Drosophila melanogaster: one gene and its partners. Changing the gene in region 1 together with any one later gene gives a genetic interaction. Each region holds a gene or a part of one and is shown in the gene's direction. Other genes may lie near its edges.

Evidence for each region.
Region 2: of brat (region 1) and grh, changing one suppresses a phenotype caused by changing the other (phenotypic suppression), as found in Drosophila melanogaster (one study listed by BioGRID).
Region 3: of brat (region 1) and Pepck1, changing one suppresses a phenotype caused by changing the other (phenotypic suppression), as found in Drosophila melanogaster (one study listed by BioGRID).
Region 4: of brat (region 1) and Mdh1, changing one suppresses a phenotype caused by changing the other (phenotypic suppression), as found in Drosophila melanogaster (one study listed by BioGRID).

What each region holds. Positions count from the first base shown.
Region 1 is NT_033779.5:19,131,924-19,136,868, forward strand, and holds the start of brat (brain tumor), read left to right. Parts: upstream 1-1,898; 5' UTR 1,899-2,353; intron 2,354-3,006; coding exon of another isoform or gene 3,007-3,057; exon of another isoform or gene 3,058-3,310; intron 3,311-4,945. Other genes in the region: DCTN6-p27 (dynactin 6, p27 subunit), read left to right, coding at 477-493, 561-1,101; Polr1D (RNA polymerase I and III subunit D), read right to left, coding at 1,129-1,428, 1,851-1,898, 3,007-3,057. UniProt on the Drosophila melanogaster protein: A NHL-domain family protein that functions as a translational repressor to inhibit cell proliferation.
Region 2 is NT_033778.4:17,800,218-17,805,270, forward strand, and holds the start of grh (grainy head), read left to right. Parts: upstream 1-2,028; 5' UTR 2,029-3,174; intron 3,175-5,053. UniProt on the Drosophila melanogaster protein: Transcription factor that binds a CNS-specific regulatory element of the Dopa decarboxylase (Ddc) gene. Also interacts with sequences adjacent to other transcription units, including Ultrabithorax (Ubx) and engrailed (en).
Region 3 is NT_033778.4:18,534,757-18,539,938, forward strand, and holds Pepck1 (phosphoenolpyruvate carboxykinase 1), read left to right. Parts: upstream 1-2,010; 5' UTR 2,011-2,036; coding exon of another isoform or gene 2,037-2,120; 5' UTR 2,121-2,281; coding exon 2,282-2,313; intron 2,314-2,477; coding exon 2,478-4,389; 3' UTR 4,390-4,660; downstream 4,661-5,182. Other genes in the region: CG45087 (uncharacterized protein), read left to right, coding at 2,037-2,120. UniProt on the Drosophila melanogaster protein: Catalyzes the conversion of oxaloacetate (OAA) to phosphoenolpyruvate (PEP), the rate-limiting step in the metabolic pathway that produces glucose from lactate and other precursors derived from the citric acid cycle.
Region 4 is NT_033779.5:10,393,237-10,398,162, reverse strand, and holds Mdh1 (malate dehydrogenase 1), read left to right. Parts: upstream 1-1,830; 5' UTR 1,831-1,945; coding exon 1,946-1,948; intron 1,949-3,218; coding exon 3,219-4,229; 3' UTR 4,230-4,389; downstream 4,390-4,926. Other genes in the region: Cnot4 (CCR4-NOT transcription complex subunit 4), read right to left, coding at 1-48.

The sequences.
Region 1 (4,945 bases):
TGGCAAAACGATACCTCTCGCCGGATACTCGATAGACACGATGCAAAGCAAGTGCTGGAAAACGCCGATTGTCAAGTGGGGGGCTGAAAGTTTAAAAATGCAATAATTTGATTTTTGGACGGGAAATCTTCTATTACATTATAAATAATTGTGTTTATTTCTTAAAAAATATTTCTCTGCATAAAAGGGTTTTATAAAAACAACTATCCCTATGAACGGGAATCAGTATGTATTGTTTATAAATGAGTATTCAACATTATTTTGGTTTTTGAGCAATAAAGTTCGACGTCATTATTGTTATATCTGGTTTTTTTATGCAAAGGTCTTTAATCATTATTTTTACCTTTCCGATATTTTAAAGTAACTAAATCTGGCTATAATATATCGCCTCATTTGCAAGCCCTCATTTATTATCGATAAATATAAATTCCTTCTCACCTTCGTGAGAAAACGTAAACAATTTAAGAAAACAGAAAATGCCCTCGGAAAACAGGTGATTGCAGCATAAGTACTTGCAAAACTAATTTACGAAATGCAGCTATACTATTGCCACTCAACAGAATCAAAATCCTACCCAAGGCGGTGGTCTGCGAGGAGAGCAGCCTGCGCGGTGACATCACCTTCTCGTCGGGCTGTGTGGTTCATCCGAGTGCCACCGTTATCGCCGACGCAGGTCCCATAATAATTGGGGAGAATTGCATCATAGAGGAATATGCCACCGTAGCTCACCGCTTGGAGCCGGGCGCCGTTTGGGATGTCAACAATATCCTGAGCATTGGCACTCACAATGTCTTTGAAGTCGGCTGCCAAGTGGAAGCGGCCAAGATTGGCGATAAGAACGTCTTCGAGAGCAAGTGCTATGTGGGCCCCGGTGTCACTGTTTCCAGCGGTTGTGTGGTGGGAGCTGGAATAAAGATCCATGGTAGTCAACGCCTGCCCGAAAACACGATTGTTTATGGAGAGCAGGGCCTGCAGCGCGAGGCCATCGACAAGCAGGGATCGCAGACCCTGCAGATCGACTTCCTGCGCAAGGTCCTGCCAAACTATCATCATCTACGCAAGCCCAACTACGATCCCAAGAAGGCGCGCAGCGTGGTTTAGTTTTAAGTATTCTTTATACATATATATCTAATTTTCCACTTTCATTGCATTAAACTCGGCCATCTCCTTTTCGAACGTAACGATTGTATGATCACACAGACCCTCCAGATCCTCCAGTCCCCGTTTAAGTATATCTATGGCTCTGTCTCGACGGGATTGAATGCGGAAGTGCAGCTTCTGCTCCGTGGGATGCGGAATCGTGTAGCCACAGAAATCCACCTCCGGGTAGCGGGCTATGATCGTTTTCAGCGCATTTCCCAGCGTGTGGCCCTCGTTGGTGAACACAAAAGTACGAGATCCTTCGCCGTTTTTCTCATCACCAGCCAGCTGGGGAAAGTATTTAAGAATTAATTACTCACATTGCATATTTAATGCATTGTCTACCTCTGCCAATGCTCCCATTTTCAGTTTGTTCAAATACTCGTTCGTTTGTTTACAAAAAACGTGCAGGGCACATGCCTCGGCAATCGATGTTAGAGTCATCGAAACATATCGATTTAAGTAGCTAAGGACGGCTTATTCCAATTGGAATGCAATGTAGCTAAAAACTAGAGATGCCTATCCCATTTTGAATTTAAGTAAAACTTAGCCATATCTTCCCGAAAAAACTGTTAAATTTAAGTTGTGTATGTATAAAAGAGTATGTCTTCTGAAACATTCCTACTGTTTGCTTGTGCCAAGTGTCATACCAACATTGACTTTAATTCTTGAAAATCAAATGAGTTACTTCTAAGTAAATGCATAAATACCGTGGTAACGTCATCGATGTATCGATAGCGCGCCGATGTCTCCACCAGCTCCAGTTCTTGACGCGTTCTGACACGGACGCGGTTTTCAGACAGAGCATTGAATTGTGTGTGTTGCTTCTTAATTCGCTTTGTTCTGTGGCCAATTTTATTGGGCCAACTGCGAAATCAGTTTTGTGCGGTGTCGGCCAAAAAAAAGAAGAAAAAGTGTCGCAAACAGCCGCATTAGCATAATTGCAAGCCGCCTTCTGCATACGTGTGTGAGTGTTGGTTTGTTTGAAAGCATCAGCAGAAAAGGCGGCAAGGAAAGAAGCAGAGAGGCGAAGCGGAGCGAAGAAAACAAAAACAAAAAAACTGCAACGGCAAACATAATTATTTGCGCAATGCATTCAACGTGAAGTTGCTCCAAAAACACCGACACTCGGGAAAAACGCATACAACGACGAATCGGCAATTCATTTTACATGCTTTTTCGCCGTTTCCATCAGGAATTGACTGCAATACAGGTTTGTTTAATGCCCACCATGTGCTTATTAATAACATCGCATACATAAATAAGCGGTATTGAAAAGCTCGAGTTGTCATTTCAATTTTGTTGACGGCCACGCCCCCCATCTGGTTCCGAAAATTATGCAAATTCATGCGCCCTTTTATTTTTGTGCACGCACACAGCTGCAAACAGGCAGCTGCCTCTGCCGCCGTGCCGTCGACGCTGTTGCCCGCGAAGGCGGAAGTGATGGCTAAAAAATACCAGTTCAGAGGCTCAACTAAAGCTTTATCTTGTTCGTTACTGTGCCTCCTGTTCTGCTTTTCGTTAGTTATTGCCAATAATGTAGACTTTTATTTCCAAATTGTTAAATTTCCTAATTGGCACTTTGCATTCACGTTCGCAGTCTGCATCTTCAATTACCAATTACGAGAATAACAGTATTCGGTTTCTTAACATGTACTTTACGATTTATATGCATATAACCAAAAGGTTGAATACAATCAAATATGATCTTACGTAGTTTCCAGTAAAATTTTAAAAATATTTTTTATTTAATTTCGTTAATATGTATGGTTTTTTAATCCAATAAGATTTTTATAAATATTTTTCTCCCTAGGGTATGCAACACTTTATTGCAAAGATACCCAATAGCTCTTAGCCAATACTCACTGTATTTTGTTTCCACTGGTTGCTATGCTCTTCTCCCCTGCCCCTTGCCATTCCTCTCTCCGCTTCCTTCTCGGCATCCTGCTAACTCCTTTGCACTCATTTGTTCGGTGGTAGCTGACACACACACATGTACACACATCTGTTGTGCTTTGGTGGTGACTAATGCGGCAGCATGTTCCGTTATCTCATGCGTTCCCCCTCCTCGCGCCCACGCGCCGCAGCGCTTGTGTTGTAATAATCACTTTTCGTGTATGTATGGCAGTGCGCGCGAGTCTGTCTCACGTTTCGTTTGGCGCCATGCGTTCCCCCCAATTTGCAGTTGTTGCAATTTAGTCTAGGCTGCGTTCCTCTTCCATTTCGTTTCCCCCATTATGCTGGGCGCCCTTTTGCCTTGTTGTTTTTGTTTTTACATGGCCTGCAGTTTAAGTATGTATATATGTATGTATTGAGAGCCGGCGTTTTTGTGGCTCGTGTGTGAGTGAGAGCGAGGCAGCTGCTCTCTCCTGGCCGAAAAAAGTGGCTGCTCTCTCTCCTGGGCTAACTCTATTCTTGCTTTTATGGGTTTCTTTTGAGTTTGCAATTATTTTGGCTTTGTAGTGGTTACAACAAAGGAACTGCATATAACCGTCACGATCGTGGCAAAAAGGGAGAATACGAAAAAGAGAAGTGCGAAATGGTTCTGGGAATACGATCCAGAGGGCCCATGTAAATATGTATGTAAACACAACCTAATATATACATTCATACATACATATGTACATAGCAACAGCGATCTATGGCCTGTACATAGAGAAAATAACTTCCCTAGCATTTACTCGCGAAGCTGATTCGTAAACAATTCACCACCTCGTGTGTAATATATCTTTTCAACGTATAATAAACGAAAACTAGTAGAAAGTAATAAACGCATAGAAAAAGGATGCAGTACGGTAGACCATTTTAAAATTATATTAATTCAAAATACAAAAGTATTTTTTGTGTATAGCTGCGCACGTGAAAATAAATTATAAAAGAGGGGGAGCCCGAAATTTTAAGTCCTCCCAAGGGTGGTGTATATTCCACCTTGTGCCATGAATATTGCAAATAATCCACTTGAGGTACAAAATACCTGTCCACGATGTAGACACAGTGTGCTGACTTGACAAGGACAGGTTATAAATTGAATTTTAAAACAAAAATTCTATGTATAATGGTACTAAGGTTTTTACCGATTCTATTGGTAAATTAATAAATGCTTAACGAGTTTTTGAAAATAATTCTGTCAGTAAACATAGCAATGGTGTGTTCTTTCGATCATTTATCTATATTTATCAATGGTGCATGCAATATTTTTGTTGGGCCCACTGTGCCAGAAAGTTCCAAGGATGCTGCAGACATCGAAAGCCAAACGAAACGAAATAAAATAAAATACACAGACAGTTTTGGAGCGAAAGGAAGTGGAAGGAGTAGCTGAGGTGAAGAAGGGGCTAAAGGGGAGCCCCTTTAGCTCGAATGCAGACAAAAAAGGTGAAGTGGCAATGGCACAAGACGAAGACGAAGAGCACGAGAACAAGGAACAGACGGGAACACGGACACGACGACGTGATATTCCAACATCCTGTGCAGCGAGTCACGAAGGAGGTGGGGAGCGCCATAAAGCCGGAGAGCACAGCAAAGCAGGGGGCGGAGGAGAGCGAAAACCTGTCATCTGCTGCATTCGATGCGGGCCACGAATAGGGGGTGGGGGGAATCGAGGAGAAGAGAAGGAGACAGAGACGCAGAAGGATGAAGCTGCAAGCATTTTTAGAATTCCCAAAATCAACATAAAAACCAAGTAAAGTAACTACACAACAGGACAAATTTTTAAGCCGAAAAGTGCAATATTTGATTAATAGGTTCGAGTTTAGTACCATTACTGTTAATCAGTGCATTAATAAATTTATTTGATAATTTGTGATGT
Region 2 (5,053 bases), on another chromosome or scaffold:
CAGGTTAGACAAAAATGTCCTGGACAAAGGGACGCGCGGAGGGATGGAATGTTTGTTTGTGAATGCTTCTCTTCGGTTTCTTACTTTTGCATAACGGACAGATATAAGACTTTTTGAAGAAAAAAACCAAATATATAAGTACATTTAATGCGATTGTTGTTTGTTTTTAGTTATATACACCGCCACACTCGCACACAAAACACACACACCGATACATGCATACATATATATACTACTTAGCGGTATATGTACAAAAACGTAATCAAGCATTAGTGAAATGTTTCGACCAGTTAAAAACCACAAATTAAATTTATTACATGAAAATCAACTAATGTGTAAACGCAAAAACGGCAAAATCAATAAATAAAAAATGGATTAAACTAAGCCTAAATTTAGTTTTAAACATTTAATATATTGCAACAATAAACCGAAATGAAAATAAAACTCAAATTCAAACTTGAGATGCAAGTGTTTGTAATTGGGCTCCTGGAACTCAACATATTACATTAAATATTTTTAATTTTATCTTTATTTATTGTTACTTATCATCATGAATGTACTTTTTAAATATTTACTGTAAAATTGCATTTTACATAAATATTTTACATTGCGTAGAATGTCTAGTGCTTCAGTGAAAACTAGCGCCCGCTGCTTTACGTTCTTAACCACAGTTCCACGCGTGCGCAGCGCCAAAAGACAAACAACGTGAATTGGTGAGTGCGGGATCCAAGTGGGGGGAGCTCGGAGGAAAGGAAGCTGGGGGGAGTCACCCTTTACCATGGCGGAAAGCACACAAGCACCGTCCGTCGGTTCGTCCGCCGATCCACACGACACAGCGCTGATTGCCGCGCCGCCTGGCGAGGTGAGGTTGTAGGAGCCCGACTGAGGTTAACCGAAAGCCAGGCCGAGAGAACGGAACAGAGAGCGGCGGAGGCTGCGGCGGCACGGCAGCTACTTGGCGTTTTCGATTGTGGTACATGCACAACTATTTTACGTATGTATGCCACACGGAGAAAAAAATCCTTCATTTCACAGTGCTAACAATTCGAGTTGATTTATTTGATTTTATGTTAAATATATGCAATATTCGTAAATTTTTTTAATATTTAATCATACAAAGTGCTTTAGTGATTTAGCTTGTGTATAGGAAACCTATCAACAGTATTTTATATAAGAATTAAGAGTTGAACTATATTAATTATCTGAACTGCTTAACCGCGGAATAGTTTTCAGAAAGTGCATCTTTGTATCCAGTAATTTTTTGCAGGGACTTCTCTTGGCATGCGGTGATCTCGGTCTTTCTCTCCACCTCTCTCCCGCTGTTGTGTGTGTTTGTTTCTCTACCTGATGCCCGATTGCACTACCACTTTCACGCGGTTTACAAGCCGAATGACAACAACAAAAACAGAACAACAAGGCGGCGAGTTCGAAAGCGAAGTAGAGTGAACCGAGCAGCGAATTCGAATTTTCGACGATGAATGCAATGCCGCAGCACAGAAATAAACGCAAAGTCCGGGAGATACGAAATGCAGGAGCGGTTTGCCCGTGTCGAGGGTGGCTGTGGCTCTCTTTCTTGCCCTCTCTCTTTCTCTCTCTTTTGATCTGCCATCTCCCTTCGCCGCAAGTGCATGCTGAAGTGGAAGGTTCGTTGCCTAAGTCTTTTGTACCTGCCTGCGTTTCGGCCTCTGCAGGTGCACCCACACACACACACACAGATGGAAGCACTGGGCTACCTGTGTTTTAGATCGCACTTGTATGGGTGTTTGGGAGTGTAGAGACAACATCATCGATTCGAATGAATTTGAGTGGCGCTGCGCTGCCGGCGTCGCTGCCGCGTTCGCTCAATATCAGTTACGAAAGAGATGAAACCATAAAAAGCAATAATAATCGAGCGCTCTCTAACCAGCGCCGCGAACACAGACATCACCTTGCCACCAATACAACTGCACGACGACGTCGGCAGAGGTGGCAGCAGCGGCGGCAGCAGCACATTCAACAGTTGAACAATCTCCAATTGACTCTTTGGGCATTATAGCCAAGAGCCGAGATCCAGCGACAGCGACGACAAGTTTTCCGCGCACACGGAAAGTCAGCAAGTTAATACACCGAAAATATATAGTTTCAAATCCGACTAATCGTTTCAAATCGAAATTACCTGTGAGTGCGCGTGTGTGTCGCGATATTTGCGAAAAATCCAAAAGTTTCTACGCCAAACAAACAGCAAAAAGTCGCGCTTAAACTTTTTCGAAATTAAATAAAACACACACACGAATTTCAGCCACGAAGAGGAAGAGAAGGCTGAAAAAGCGAAAAAAAACCTCGTGTGTGTGTGCGTGTGTGTTGAGTGCGAGAGTATCTGTGTGTGTGTACGTGTGCATGTCTCTCGGAGAGCGTGAGCTTAAAGTGTGCCTGTGTGTGTGCGCTTGCGAGCTGGAATGAGACGCCATCAAAGCTGAGCAGCGAATAATAAAATGCAAAATAAAAATAGTGATTAATAACAGCAGCCAGAACCAGCAGCAATAACAAATGCTAGTGCGGAAAGCGCGTAAAAAATAGTGAAAATACTCATAGAAAAATAGAAAAAACAACAACAAATTGGCTTGAAAACGCAAATGCCAGGCGCAACGCCCCCGAACCGACCCGCCCCCTCAACTTTTGCGCCCTCCAGTAGCAATAGCAGCAATATGAGCAGCAGCAACATCAAATGTTAGGCCAAAATGCACAAACCGCCAGCAACAAAGGCAGCACCAAGCGAACGAAACAACAACAGCTCCACATACCACAAAGAGTGGCACATTAGAAGCGGCCAAAAGCAGCCAGCCGAGAGCATTGTGTAAGCCAAAGGCCCAGAGAGCCAGGCTAAAAGCCCCCAGACGCACAACAACAACAACAACAACTAAAACAGCACAAAGAGTGGCGAAAGGTGCACCCACCAGCAAAACAGCAACAACGGAGCAACCAACAACAGCAGCAGCAGCAGCAGCAGCCACATTTCAGTTACAGCTCCAGACTCCCAGGTTGCAGACTCCCAAAGCAAACAGACTCCAGTCCACGATCCAGCTCCAGTTCCACCGATCCGATCCACTGCTCCAGCGTGCTCGAGTGCCATAGATCCTCACCAAGTGCCAAAATCCGCATCCTGATCCCAAGAGCTCAAGGCACCCCGGCCCAAAAGTGAGTAGTACTTAGCCTACCAAGAAGTAATTATAAACGCATCAGGCTATGTAGCCCTGGTCGGTTCATGGAGGGATTACACCGTCAGAAATATAGCACCCTATTGACCATTTGGTTTTCGGCTTATAGATCCCTTTTTTCGGGAGATTCCATCACAATAGCTGGTATTCCCAATAAAGAGAGCAATAAAAGCGGGCATTTTTTGGGCACTACTAGGGTGTAGAAACTTTTCAAAAATAAATATTTTTCAAAACTTGATATTTTTAAAAAACATATGGTATTACCAAACTATAAGATATATTTTAGCTAGATTTATACATAGTACGTCAAGTTGATTCGATGGAGTTAATAGAAAAATGGTAATTGGATATTATTTCGATATTATTTGACAACGACAATCTCATAGAAATATTTTTAAACAATTTTGCTGGAGATGTAGGCATAAAATCCATTTAGTTCGTGCGGTTTTAAATTAAAATGCATTCTGCATGTTTTTTTAATAAGTTTTATTATATCTATACGGCTAGGCATTTTAAATGATTTCAAATGTATTGAAACTAAACGATTTCATTACCCTGCTGGCCAGTGTTGCTTTTGAAAGCCTTCGTTCACAGTGGACACCCTGTATGTTGTGCAGACGTAGCCTAAGTCTCTTGGTCCCAGCCTCAACTCGTGTTGTTGTTGTTGTTGTTGTCATTGTTGCTGTTGCTGTTGCCGTTGTGTTGTTGGTGGTATCTTTCGCGCACACATTCCTCTTTGTTTGGTTTTATTTTGTATTTCGTATTTCGAAGTGGCCGCTGCGCAGCGGCAGCGGCAGGTAAGTCGCACAGGTATTGGTATTGCTGTCATATTGCCGTTGTGCTCCCAACAATACCTTGCTAGAGCGGGAGAGTTGGCCATAAAGAGCGGTAGCGAGAAGGGATCAAGACGCCTCTGTCTCGGTCTCGGCCTCTGCCTCTGCGTCGACGTCTACTGCGCAGCCTTCTTGTTCGAAAATCGATGATGTTGCCCAGTGTTTGTGATTACGTTTTCCCCTGGACTTTTGTGCTGCCTTTTGCCTCTTATGTTCTCAGCTTCTTTTTATTATGATTTTTATTTTCTTTCTTTTTTTTTTTTTTTTGATTTTTTCCCTTCTTGATGATGGTGATCAATTTGGGGCTGCGATTATGGTACAGTAAAATGAACATCTACGCAGCACTCACACCGCCAGACACACAGATACATTCAGCCGTGAGATACACACGCACACAGCGAAACAGGCACATGTAACCCACACACAAAAAAAAGGGGGAACTTCGTGAGAGAGTTATTTTATTTTCGTGTTCGTGTTAACGTTTATTGTTTTTCTTTTCTTTAGCCTTTCTTCGTTTCTTCGGGACTTCTTGACTCCGTCTTGCAGCCGTTCCCGTTCCCCTTCGCGCTCGCCACCCCTGCCCCATCCATGCACGCCTTTATTTCCCTGAACATTCCCAAATACACGGAGAGAAAAGGGGATGCATTGATGGTGATATTATGAGGATTTATTTATGCATATAATTATTCTTAAAGAGGCTAAGAAGTCAAAAGCTAAAATAAAATCGTTTCAATGAGTTTCTATATCATCAGATTAATAATATAACTCAAAGTTTTGAATCGACATGGCATTTCTTGCCGTGTACCATCTACCAACTCTCCAGTCTCAGTCATTGGTTATTGATGCCCAACAACTCTGACCGTTGATGTCTTAGGGTTACGCTGCGCATTTCTTCTCTTGTCTTTTCTCCACCTCTCCCATCTACCCCTCTCCATCCCCCCCCTACATTCACGCGAAGTAAGGTAAAGATACGTAAAATCCAAATTTCAAATTATGTCAAATCTTAATGGGATTTGAAATGGAATT
Region 3 (5,182 bases), on another chromosome or scaffold:
GCGTATAAATCCATAATGCCGTTTAACCTAACTTATCAACAGATCCACGCGATGAAAAACAAGCAAATAAATGCCAGAAAAAGCCAAAAAGAAAGTAAAGTTTATGGGTGAACCTTTGCAATTTTCGGTGGGTTTCCAAGGACTGATTACTAAATTCAAAGCGTGTGGTGTGATGTACACTATGGGGTGAACAGCGATAAAAAGCCAATAAGCCAAGAAACCAAAAGGCAAAATAGCTAAGAAATCGAATCCCTTAAAATAGTTCATGGGCAATGTAAAGATCCTCATAGTGATGTTTTCCCTCGGAAAGTTTTCCTGGTCGACAGCACAAATCCGGGTCTGATCTATATTTAGACGAACTCAGAGGCTCGTCCACTGATAACCCGCCCGGCTCCCTCCTCCCCATTGCCTTCTTCTCAACCAATCGCATTATTGATTATGCATATATTTAGCGAATCGATCGTCTATTGACGTAAATTCCAAATAAGCCCGAATCATCGAAATGCGCCAAGTGGCGGTTAGGTGAGAACAGGAGCGAAGCAGTTAGAGTCTGAGTCCAAGTCCAAGTCTGGGTCCAGCAATTAATGCCGATGATGAAGATTATCAGGCCCAACTAGAAAAACAAGTCCATAGTTATAAATAAACCAATCGAAAATCACGGCAACGCGTGTAGACGAATTCGATTTAATTCGCAACTGGACTTTTCGTAAAGGGAGTCAAAAATGGGGACGGGGACTGTAAGAGGGGGGAGCCAAGGACCAAGGACAACCATCTGATCAGGTTTCTCCAAGGACGTTGGACGCCAGTCTCTTCTGGGTCTAGGCTAAGTGAGCGGCTTATTATAATTATTTAAAACAATTTTAATAAAAATTATATTTGGCCTATTTGTTATGAAGTTGAATTAAGCTTGAAGTTTTAAATTAGAGTTGGCAAGCGTTTTAATTTAACATTATAAATAACACTGCTACCAAATAAATGTTTACGCAACCAATGAAAAACAGAGCCATATTTACGTGCAACTTTCCCGACTGCTTCTGTTGAACTTTTTCTTCGAGTACCCAGAGGATTCTGGGTCTTCTGGTAAACTGGATTCGGGGTACAAAGTCACACCACCGGCAGCACCTTCATTTCTCCTTCCCCAAAGACAAAAACAAGAGTGGCCACATGACAACCATCCGGGCCATGCTATTCTTGGTGCGCCCCCAGAGTCACATGAATGTGAATACTGGCCTCCAAGGCGGCCATGGCCAATTGGGGAGGCCCCCGGCTCATCTGGATGCCGCGAGGGGGGCGGATTAGCATACAAATTTTCCGTCACCGATTCTACAAATAAGCGAAAGTTTTTTTCGATTTGGCAAATGTCCAAAAACGAGAGGCCAACACATGTGGTCAAACAGGCGTAAGTGGGCGGGCGCGTGTGATGTGGCCCACCATTCGATGTTGCACCAATGTAGCTATATTTGTGGCCAATGCAGCTATAGACACATCCAGAATTTACCCAGCTGCAGGGGACAACAACTGCTGTTGCCTCAGCTGTCCGTGAACTGGTTTCTATATTCGCAGCGGCCACATTTGTATCGCATAAAATCATAAATAGAATAATTAAATTAACAGCGCGAAAGTGGCAAATATCAGGGTGTTCAAAATAACAACAAACGCTTATCAATGCAAACGCACTAGAAAACGCTCTCAGCGCCACATGAAAACAACACTCTGCTGTTGCCATGTGGGGACATACCCCATATACGTATCTGTATGCCCATGCCCCCCATTCCGTAGACCCCCCCCCCCCACCCACAACCAACTCATCGTAGCTGCGCCGCCTGTGAAAAACCAAAACAATCGCCGAGCCTCCGCCGGCAGCCAATCAGCTCGTCCGGAGTTTGACCCTCTCACTCGGCGAGGCGATCGTAAAACCCGATTTGCGTGGCGATCGGCCGACTTGTTCTAGTCGCCTCGATGGCCAGGCGTCGCCGGCTGGGTATAAAAGGCCCCGGATCGGAGCAGTTGGCATCAGTTACTCGTGGCCAGAGTAAATGGAAAGATCAAGTGAAAAGCCTACTTTCAGTGGTCTGAAAATCAAGTTGATGTTTGACAAAAAACTGTGGAAGAACATATGAACGCAAAGTCCTCGACAGTAGAACACTAATTGTGATAATTACTCAAATTGTGATAAGCGAATTAAGCAAAGTGCCAAAAACCCTTTCACGCGCAGAAAAATCTAATAAAAATATTCCAAACTTTTTTTCGAGAAAAATTCATAAAAAACAACACAAACAAAATGCCTGAGCTCATTGAACAAAGCAAAATTATGTAAGTATACATTAAAGAGGTCACTCGAAACGCATTCAATGGGGGATTTTAATGGCAATTAATTTTTAATGCAGTCCATTATTTGGGGTCCCACTATCGAAGTCAGTTAATTAAATTGCAATTTTAATAACCCACTTCCCTTTTATCTCTCTCTTTCTCTTTAGCTCCGGCAATGTCTGCGGTCTGCCCCAGTTGCACAAGCTGCGCCAGGACAATTGCGGTCTGTACAGCCACATCCGTGGCATTCCCATCTCCTATGGAAATGTGGATTTGCTGACCACCGGTGTCCGTGCCTTCGTGGAGGAGGGCATCGCCCTCTGCCAGCCCGACCAGGTGCACATCTGCGATGGCAGCGAGCAGGAGAACAAGGTGCTCATCAAGAGCCTCTTGGAGGCTGGCACCATTGTGCCGCTGCCCAAGTACGACAATTGCTGGCTGGCCCGCACCAATCCGGCGGATGTGGCCCGCGTCGAGTCGCGCACTTTCATCTGCACCGAGCGGCGGGAGGAGACGATTCCCACTCCAGTGGAGGGTGTCAAGGGAACCCTGGGCAACTGGATCTCGCCCAGCGACATGGATGCTGCAGTGCAGCAGCGATTCCCCGGCTGCATGAAGGGTCGCACCATGTACGTGGTGCCCTTCAGCATGGGTCCTGTGGGCTCCCCGCTCTCTAAGATCGGAATCGAACTGACGGACTCTGCTTACGTGGTGGCCTCCATGAGGATCATGACACGCATGGGAGCCGCTGTCTTGCGCCAGCTGGCCAAGAAGGAGGAATTCGTCCGCGCCCTACACTCTGTGGGCGCCCCTGCCAACGGACAGGTGGAGCAGCCATCCTGGCCTTGTGATCCCGAACGCACCATCATCCTGCACAAGCCCGCCGAGAACCTTATTGTGTCTTACGGATCGGGCTACGGCGGCAACTCGCTGCTGGGCAAGAAGTGCTTCGCCCTGAGGATTGGCAGCACCATTGCCAAGCAGGAGGGCTGGCTGGCCGAGCACATGTTGATTCTGGGCATCACCGATCCCAAGGGCGAGAAGAAGTACATCACTGCCGCCTTTCCCTCGGCCTGTGGCAAGACCAATCTGGCCATGCTGAATCCCTCGTTGGCCAACTACAAGGTGGAATGCGTGGGCGACGACATTGCGTGGATGAAGTTTGACTCGCAGGGAGTGCTGCGTGCCATCAACCCAGAGAATGGATTCTTTGGTGTGGCTCCAGGAACCTCAATGGAGACCAATCCCATTGCCATGAACACTGTTTTCAAGAACACCATCTTCACGAACGTGGCCTCCACCTCTGATGGCGGTGTGTTCTGGGAGGGCATGGAAAGCAGTCTGGCTCCCAATGTCCAAATCACTGACTGGTTGGGCAAACCCTGGACCAAGGATTCCGGCAAGCCCGCTGCGCATCCCAACTCCCGCTTCTGCACTCCAGCCGCCCAGTGCCCGATTATCGATGAAGCCTGGGAAGATCCGGCGGGAGTGCCCATCTCCGCCATGCTCTTCGGAGGACGTCGTCCCGCCGGAGTGCCCCTAATCTATGAGGCTCGGGACTGGACCCACGGAGTCTTCATTGGAGCAGCCATGAGGAGTGAGGCCACTGCTGCGGCCGAGCACAAGGGCAAGGTGATCATGCACGATCCGTTCGCCATGAGGCCCTTCTTTGGCTACAACTTTGGCGACTACGTGGCCCACTGGCTGAGCATGGAGAAGCGTGGTCAGGTGCCAAAGATCTTCCACGTCAACTGGTTCCGCAAGAGTGCCGAGGGCAAGTTCATGTGGCCCGGATACGGAGAGAACTCCCGTGTGCTGGAATGGATCCTGCGCAGGGTCAATGGCGAATCCTGCTACGTGGACTCGGCCATTGGACACATTCCCGCCGAGGGTGCCCTAAACCTCGATGGCATGAAGGATAAGGTGGACGTGAAGGAGATCTTCTCGCTGCCCAAGGAGTTCTGGTCGCAGGAGGTCAAGGATATTCGCACCTACTTCGAGTCACAGGTGGGCGCCGATCTTCCGGCCAGCATTTACCAGCAGCTGGACGAGCTATCTTCCCGCGTAGACAACCTGTAAGAAGGATCAATGAGGAGAGTCCCATCTACAGCATCTTTACCTGCCCACACACCTGCTCACCCACTGTGCTATCCCGTACTGACCCCATCACCAACCCAATTTGTTAACCTGTCCTAAATACCTGTCCCCAATACCTTATTTAGTCGTTTCTCTAGTTCTTAAGCCGAAGACTTCCAAACTATTTATTATATAAGCAGCCATAAGATTAGCAAGTAGGCCATACAAACAGAGAAAATTAAAAAAAAAATAAAACAACACGATTTTATAACCTACATCCTATATGAGTATTTATTTATCACAAACTTGGATTTTTGAATGTTGTGAACATTCTAAACAGTATATATACAATAGTTAATATACTAATAAATGCTTTATAGCTGCATGATTTATTTATTAACGCTTCAAACAATCAGTTAAATAGATAAACAAGTTTTAATACGTTTTAGGATTTTTAAATGATTGCTAAATAAATTTCAAATGTTATAATTATAAAATGTGACACTTGTAACTAGTCTTGCTCTTGTTTCATAACTAAGACTTTTAATATTTTTCAAAATCCTAATTTATGGTGTTAATTTGCCAAGATTATAGAAATAAATTAAGTTAAATTTTTCCCACTTGCCTTATATAAGATGAAACCGCTAGATGATTTCCCAATCATCTCCTGCAACGGCTATCCACTGCATTCGCTAGCTTTCCTCGGCTCCATTTTCCAGCCCAATGGAAGGCCGCGAAAAGCTCAACAGTCGGAGCTTTTCCAGCACTTCGGATTCACAGGAATCGGGAGCCAGGA
Region 4 (4,926 bases), 8.7 Mb from region 1:
ACACAAAGGGCACTCGACTGCATCATCATTGCTGCTCAGGCCGTTCATTTTCAGGTGATTTGTTGATTAGTGATGAAGTACTCGCAGTTGTAATTTTTATAAAATTGTTGATAATGATGAGAACCAAGCTGTAGAAAGTAAATAAAATTTATATGTATAAATAATATATATATATATATATATTTGATTAGGATGAAGTTTTGTGTGTAGATTCTTAAATCTCAAGGATAGCTTTTGTAGGATGGATTTTCATCAGATTGGTATGAACCTGCATTGAAATAAGAAGAATATTCCCTTGTCTTGTACTTCTAAACTATGCATATATGATTTTGTCTACCTAAAACACCTAAAAAAAAGGAAGGCATGCGATCTTTATTAGATGAATCACCCCGTTATTTTGCACACTACGAAAAACAAGTTGTGGACATTTGGCACCTGTAGCTGACCACTTTAGTTAATATCCATATTTAACACTTTTTTTGATAGTTGCGATTTGTGCAAAATTGTTTACATACTGCCCATTGTATTCGTGGTATTGTTGACTTTATGCAACCTTTGAAAAAAGACAATTTAATGCGACCCGAAGAAGGTGTTTGCCGTCAGGTAATTTTATTGTGTATATACACACACACGCATATGCCTACAACGCAGACAAACAAACACAAAAAGTATTTTTAAATATGGATACCTTTTCATAACAAAAATCAAACCAGCTCGGAAATATACGCACTACCTGCGTACATCAATAAGTTCTCAAATTTAAAACGGAAGCTCTCTTTAAAACACAATCAAAAAGAAAGTACAATTTTCAAGAGTTTAATAACCGAACATGTGTGTGAGTATGGCGACATGCAAATACGTGTGGGTATTAAGCAAAATTACTAGAATTTGCATCGATATTTGCGTATGCATTGTAAAAGCACTTAATATGTGTACATCAGCAATTTGTTAATCCACTATATACGCACACATATGCGAGTGTTTATGTACATAAGCGTACATTGTTCACGCTGCACTTATTTACCAAACCACAGCTGTGATTTATTGTTTATTAATTATGGCAAATCACGAACTCGTATAAAAGGGTAACGAAAATCGATTTTTAGACAATAACAAAAGGCTGGTTGGAAAGGAAAACGGCAAATGTTTAATGTACATAAGCAAGAGTATATATACATACACATATGTATGTACACGTAACACGTATGATTGTAGGTGTGATGTAGGTTTTCTTTATTCACTCTGAATAGCTGATGAAACGACGTTGCAATGGTTAATTGTGTTTTTGAACGCTTTTTAATTTTTATAAATACTTGGTAGCAAACGTATCAAACGAAAGTACTAAGGCTAAAAATAAACGCAAAGTAAACGAATGGATTCGCCAAATTAAAGACTCCAATTTTTTCCACAAGAAACATTCGATTTTTTTCCACAGCTCAAACTATCGATAATAGCAAGCGAAAAAATCACTTCACACGACTGCATTTGCGTATTTCAGATATGAAAATATAGCTAGGTACTAATTTTGTATGTGTAAACAAAGTGACCAAGAATAATGCAAAGAAATATGATATTTGATGCTTTTTCTGCAAAATTTTGTTGTTTACATTAACTAATTTAATAACTATATTTCTATTAATTTTTCATTTATCATCGTTTTATTTATTTATATATGTATTTACTTTTTTTTGGCAACTGTAAATATTAATAACAATAAGAGAACTCCTTAACTCTTTGTATTATTTAAAAATTTAGTAAATTTGTAAGGAGCAACATAATCGATTATTTTGCCAAAAACATATTGCGTTGGAGTCACGGCTACTTTTATTCAAAAAGTAGTGACTGGAAAATAATTGTGAAAAGTAACAGGTTCCCAATTGGCGATCCCTATTTACGTTTTTACTTGAAGTTCGTCCGTGGAGCGTTGCACCTGTGAAATTCTAAAATGGTAAGCTTGCCGGCGATTTCTCGCTACGCTCGTATAGTATATATCATCAAATTATTATTAATAATCTGCATATTTGATTATCAAATGTGAAGAATATGCATACATATGCATTCAAAGTGCCGTACACAATAATGTGTAGTTATGACGGTATGTGTGATTGGTCGCAATAATTTTTCTGGAAATTTAACATTCATTTGACCTCTCTTCATGCTAATCTTAAAAACCAAAAACCTTAGTGACGTCAATTCGAACGTATGCACAAATGTTGCATTTTCAGAGGCCCCCAAAAGCATGAATTTATTGCAAATGCGAGCTAATTGCCAATTGACGGCGATAAAAATGTTGTTTTCATGTTTTAATAGCTCTTGCCGGAGCAGATAGAGCTTATATAAACCGGATGATTGGAGGCGGTGAAGCAAAGTCCATGCAGTTCAAATCTGTCATATCTTATCAAAAATGCTAAATGCTCCCAGGGGTTACGCTTCCAATTGTTTGGAAGTTAAAAACTTCTTCAATGACAAATATATAATATAAAAATATAATATATGTTATGTTTAGTAATTCCCGTCTTTAGCTACATTTTACTGGAAACTATGCCCTGTGACTTTTCTTTAGGGCAAAACATAAATAGGGGTCAATTGCCACAAGTGGCCTACTTTTAGTGCCCTTAGGAAAGGATTAACTGGGATTGCGTAACGAGGATGGGCGGAAAATGCACTAGCAAGCAAAAATCAAAGCACATCACTTATAAAATGTTTTATTAAATCTATAACTATTGAAAATGCCAGCTCAGAGATAAATGGAGAGGAAATTTAAGAGTTCTAGCTAAAGTATAAAGTATAAAGTAAATTCGTTATCTATCGTAAACAACAAATGCAAGCTGATAAAGACACACTTCAAAACAGTAACAAAAAACCTGGTCACGCATTTGTTTATTTTCAGCTATCATATTTGCATTAATTTTGCTGAAATTGCACTTAAATGGGTTTTAATTCGGAAATGGCGAGCTGGATATATACGAAGTATTTTGTGTAGTTAGCAGTTTTCGCATATATTTCCTCGCCGCTAAGCGTCTAAAAATAAAATATAGATCCAAAGCCAAAGGCTGGATGAAAAATTCGCCCCTTATTACAGTATAATTAGTTTAGCTGCATCTAAACATAGCTAAGAACATTCTTGAAATAAAATACGGAAAATGCATAAAGAAATGGAAAAAGGAAGATGAAATACACTTAAAGGAATGTTCCTAATCGAGTGAATATATTTTCAGGCTGAACCAATTCGTGTTGTGGTGACCGGAGCCGCTGGCCAAATCGCCTACTCCCTGCTGTACATGATTGCCCGCGGCGAGGTGTTCGGCAAGGATCAGCCCATCGTGCTGCACCTGCTCGACATTCCGCCCATGGTTGGTGTGCTCGAGGGCGTGGTCATGGAATTGGCCGACTGCGCTCTGCCGCTGCTGGTCGAGGTGGTGCCCACCACCGACCCGGCTGTTGGATTCAAGGATGTCTCGGCCGCTTTCCTCGTGGGCGCCATGCCCCGCAAGGAGGGAATGGAGCGAAAGGATCTGCTGTCCGCCAACGTGAAGATCTTCAGGACCCAGGGCCAGGCTCTGGACAAGTTCGCCAAGAAGGACGTCAAGGTGCTGGTTGTGGGCAACCCGGCCAATACCAATGCCCTGGTCTGCTCCTCCTATGCGCCTTCCATTCCGCGCGAAAATTTCTCGGCTATGACTCGCCTGGATCAGAATCGCGCCACATCCCAGATCGCCGCCAAATTGGGTGTGCCAATTTCTGCTGTTAAGAACATCATTATTTGGGGCAACCACTCCTCCACCCAGTATCCCGATGCTGGACAGGCCAAGGTGACCGCCAATGGTACCGTTAAGTCCGTGGTGGATGCGATCAACGATAATGGCTACCTGCAGGGATCCTTCGTGGAAACCGTTCAGAAGCGTGGAGCCGCTGTCATTGCGGCCCGCAAAATGTCATCGGCCATGTCGGCGGCGAAGGCCGCTTGCGATCACATGCACGACTGGTGGAACGGCACTGCTCCCGGCCAGTTCGTCTCCATGGGTGTCTTCTCCGACGGCAGCTACGATTCGCCCAAGGATGTGATCTTCTCGTTCCCCGTCGAGATCAAGAATAAGCAATGGAAAATCGTCTCTGGCCTGACCCTCAGCGATTTCGCTAAGACAAAGTTAAGCGTTACCGGCAAGGAGCTGCAGGAGGAGAAGGACGAGGCTCTGTCCGTGCTGGACTCGAATGTGTCCAACTTGTAATGCGATCCTTAAACGTTAATTACTAACATCATAGTTGTGCATTTAGGAACAAAGTTCATGGCAATAAAAGTTTTGTAAATAGCTCTGAAATGGTTTTGTTTTGTGCAAGTTAATTGTTGCTAGCGATTTGAACTATAAGATTAAAGGCTTAATGGCTGATAAACTAAATAATAGACCGTTGAGTTTATAGTTGTTGTGATTTCATATTTTATCTACCAGTTTGATCAGTATTTTTACATGTATATTTGGAAGGCTACGTGTATAATACACATGTCAAATACACAAATGTAAAATTCCTTGGTGGTCTGTGATTAATAATTAGAGTTCAAATCAAATCTTAATGAGGTAAGCCATTGCGACAGTCTGATAACTTATCATTGATAACTATTCGGGTAACGTAAAATTTGGGCAAGTCACAATTGTTTGACCGTTTTTGAGTTATAATCTCAAACGTTTATAGATCTACGAAAGACAGACGGACATTTAAAAAACTGAAATTATACAAATTACTTATAGTTTTTAAGCCCACAACTGACAACTATCTACTCAAATCAGCAGTGGATCCCCGAACTAAAGATCCTTAATATCAGATTGAAACCTCTGGCAGCAAAAACCAATAAATCGACAGCTTAACCATGTATTATTAGGTATAAACATTATATTATACCATTTATTCATAACGAAATCAATGAAGTCA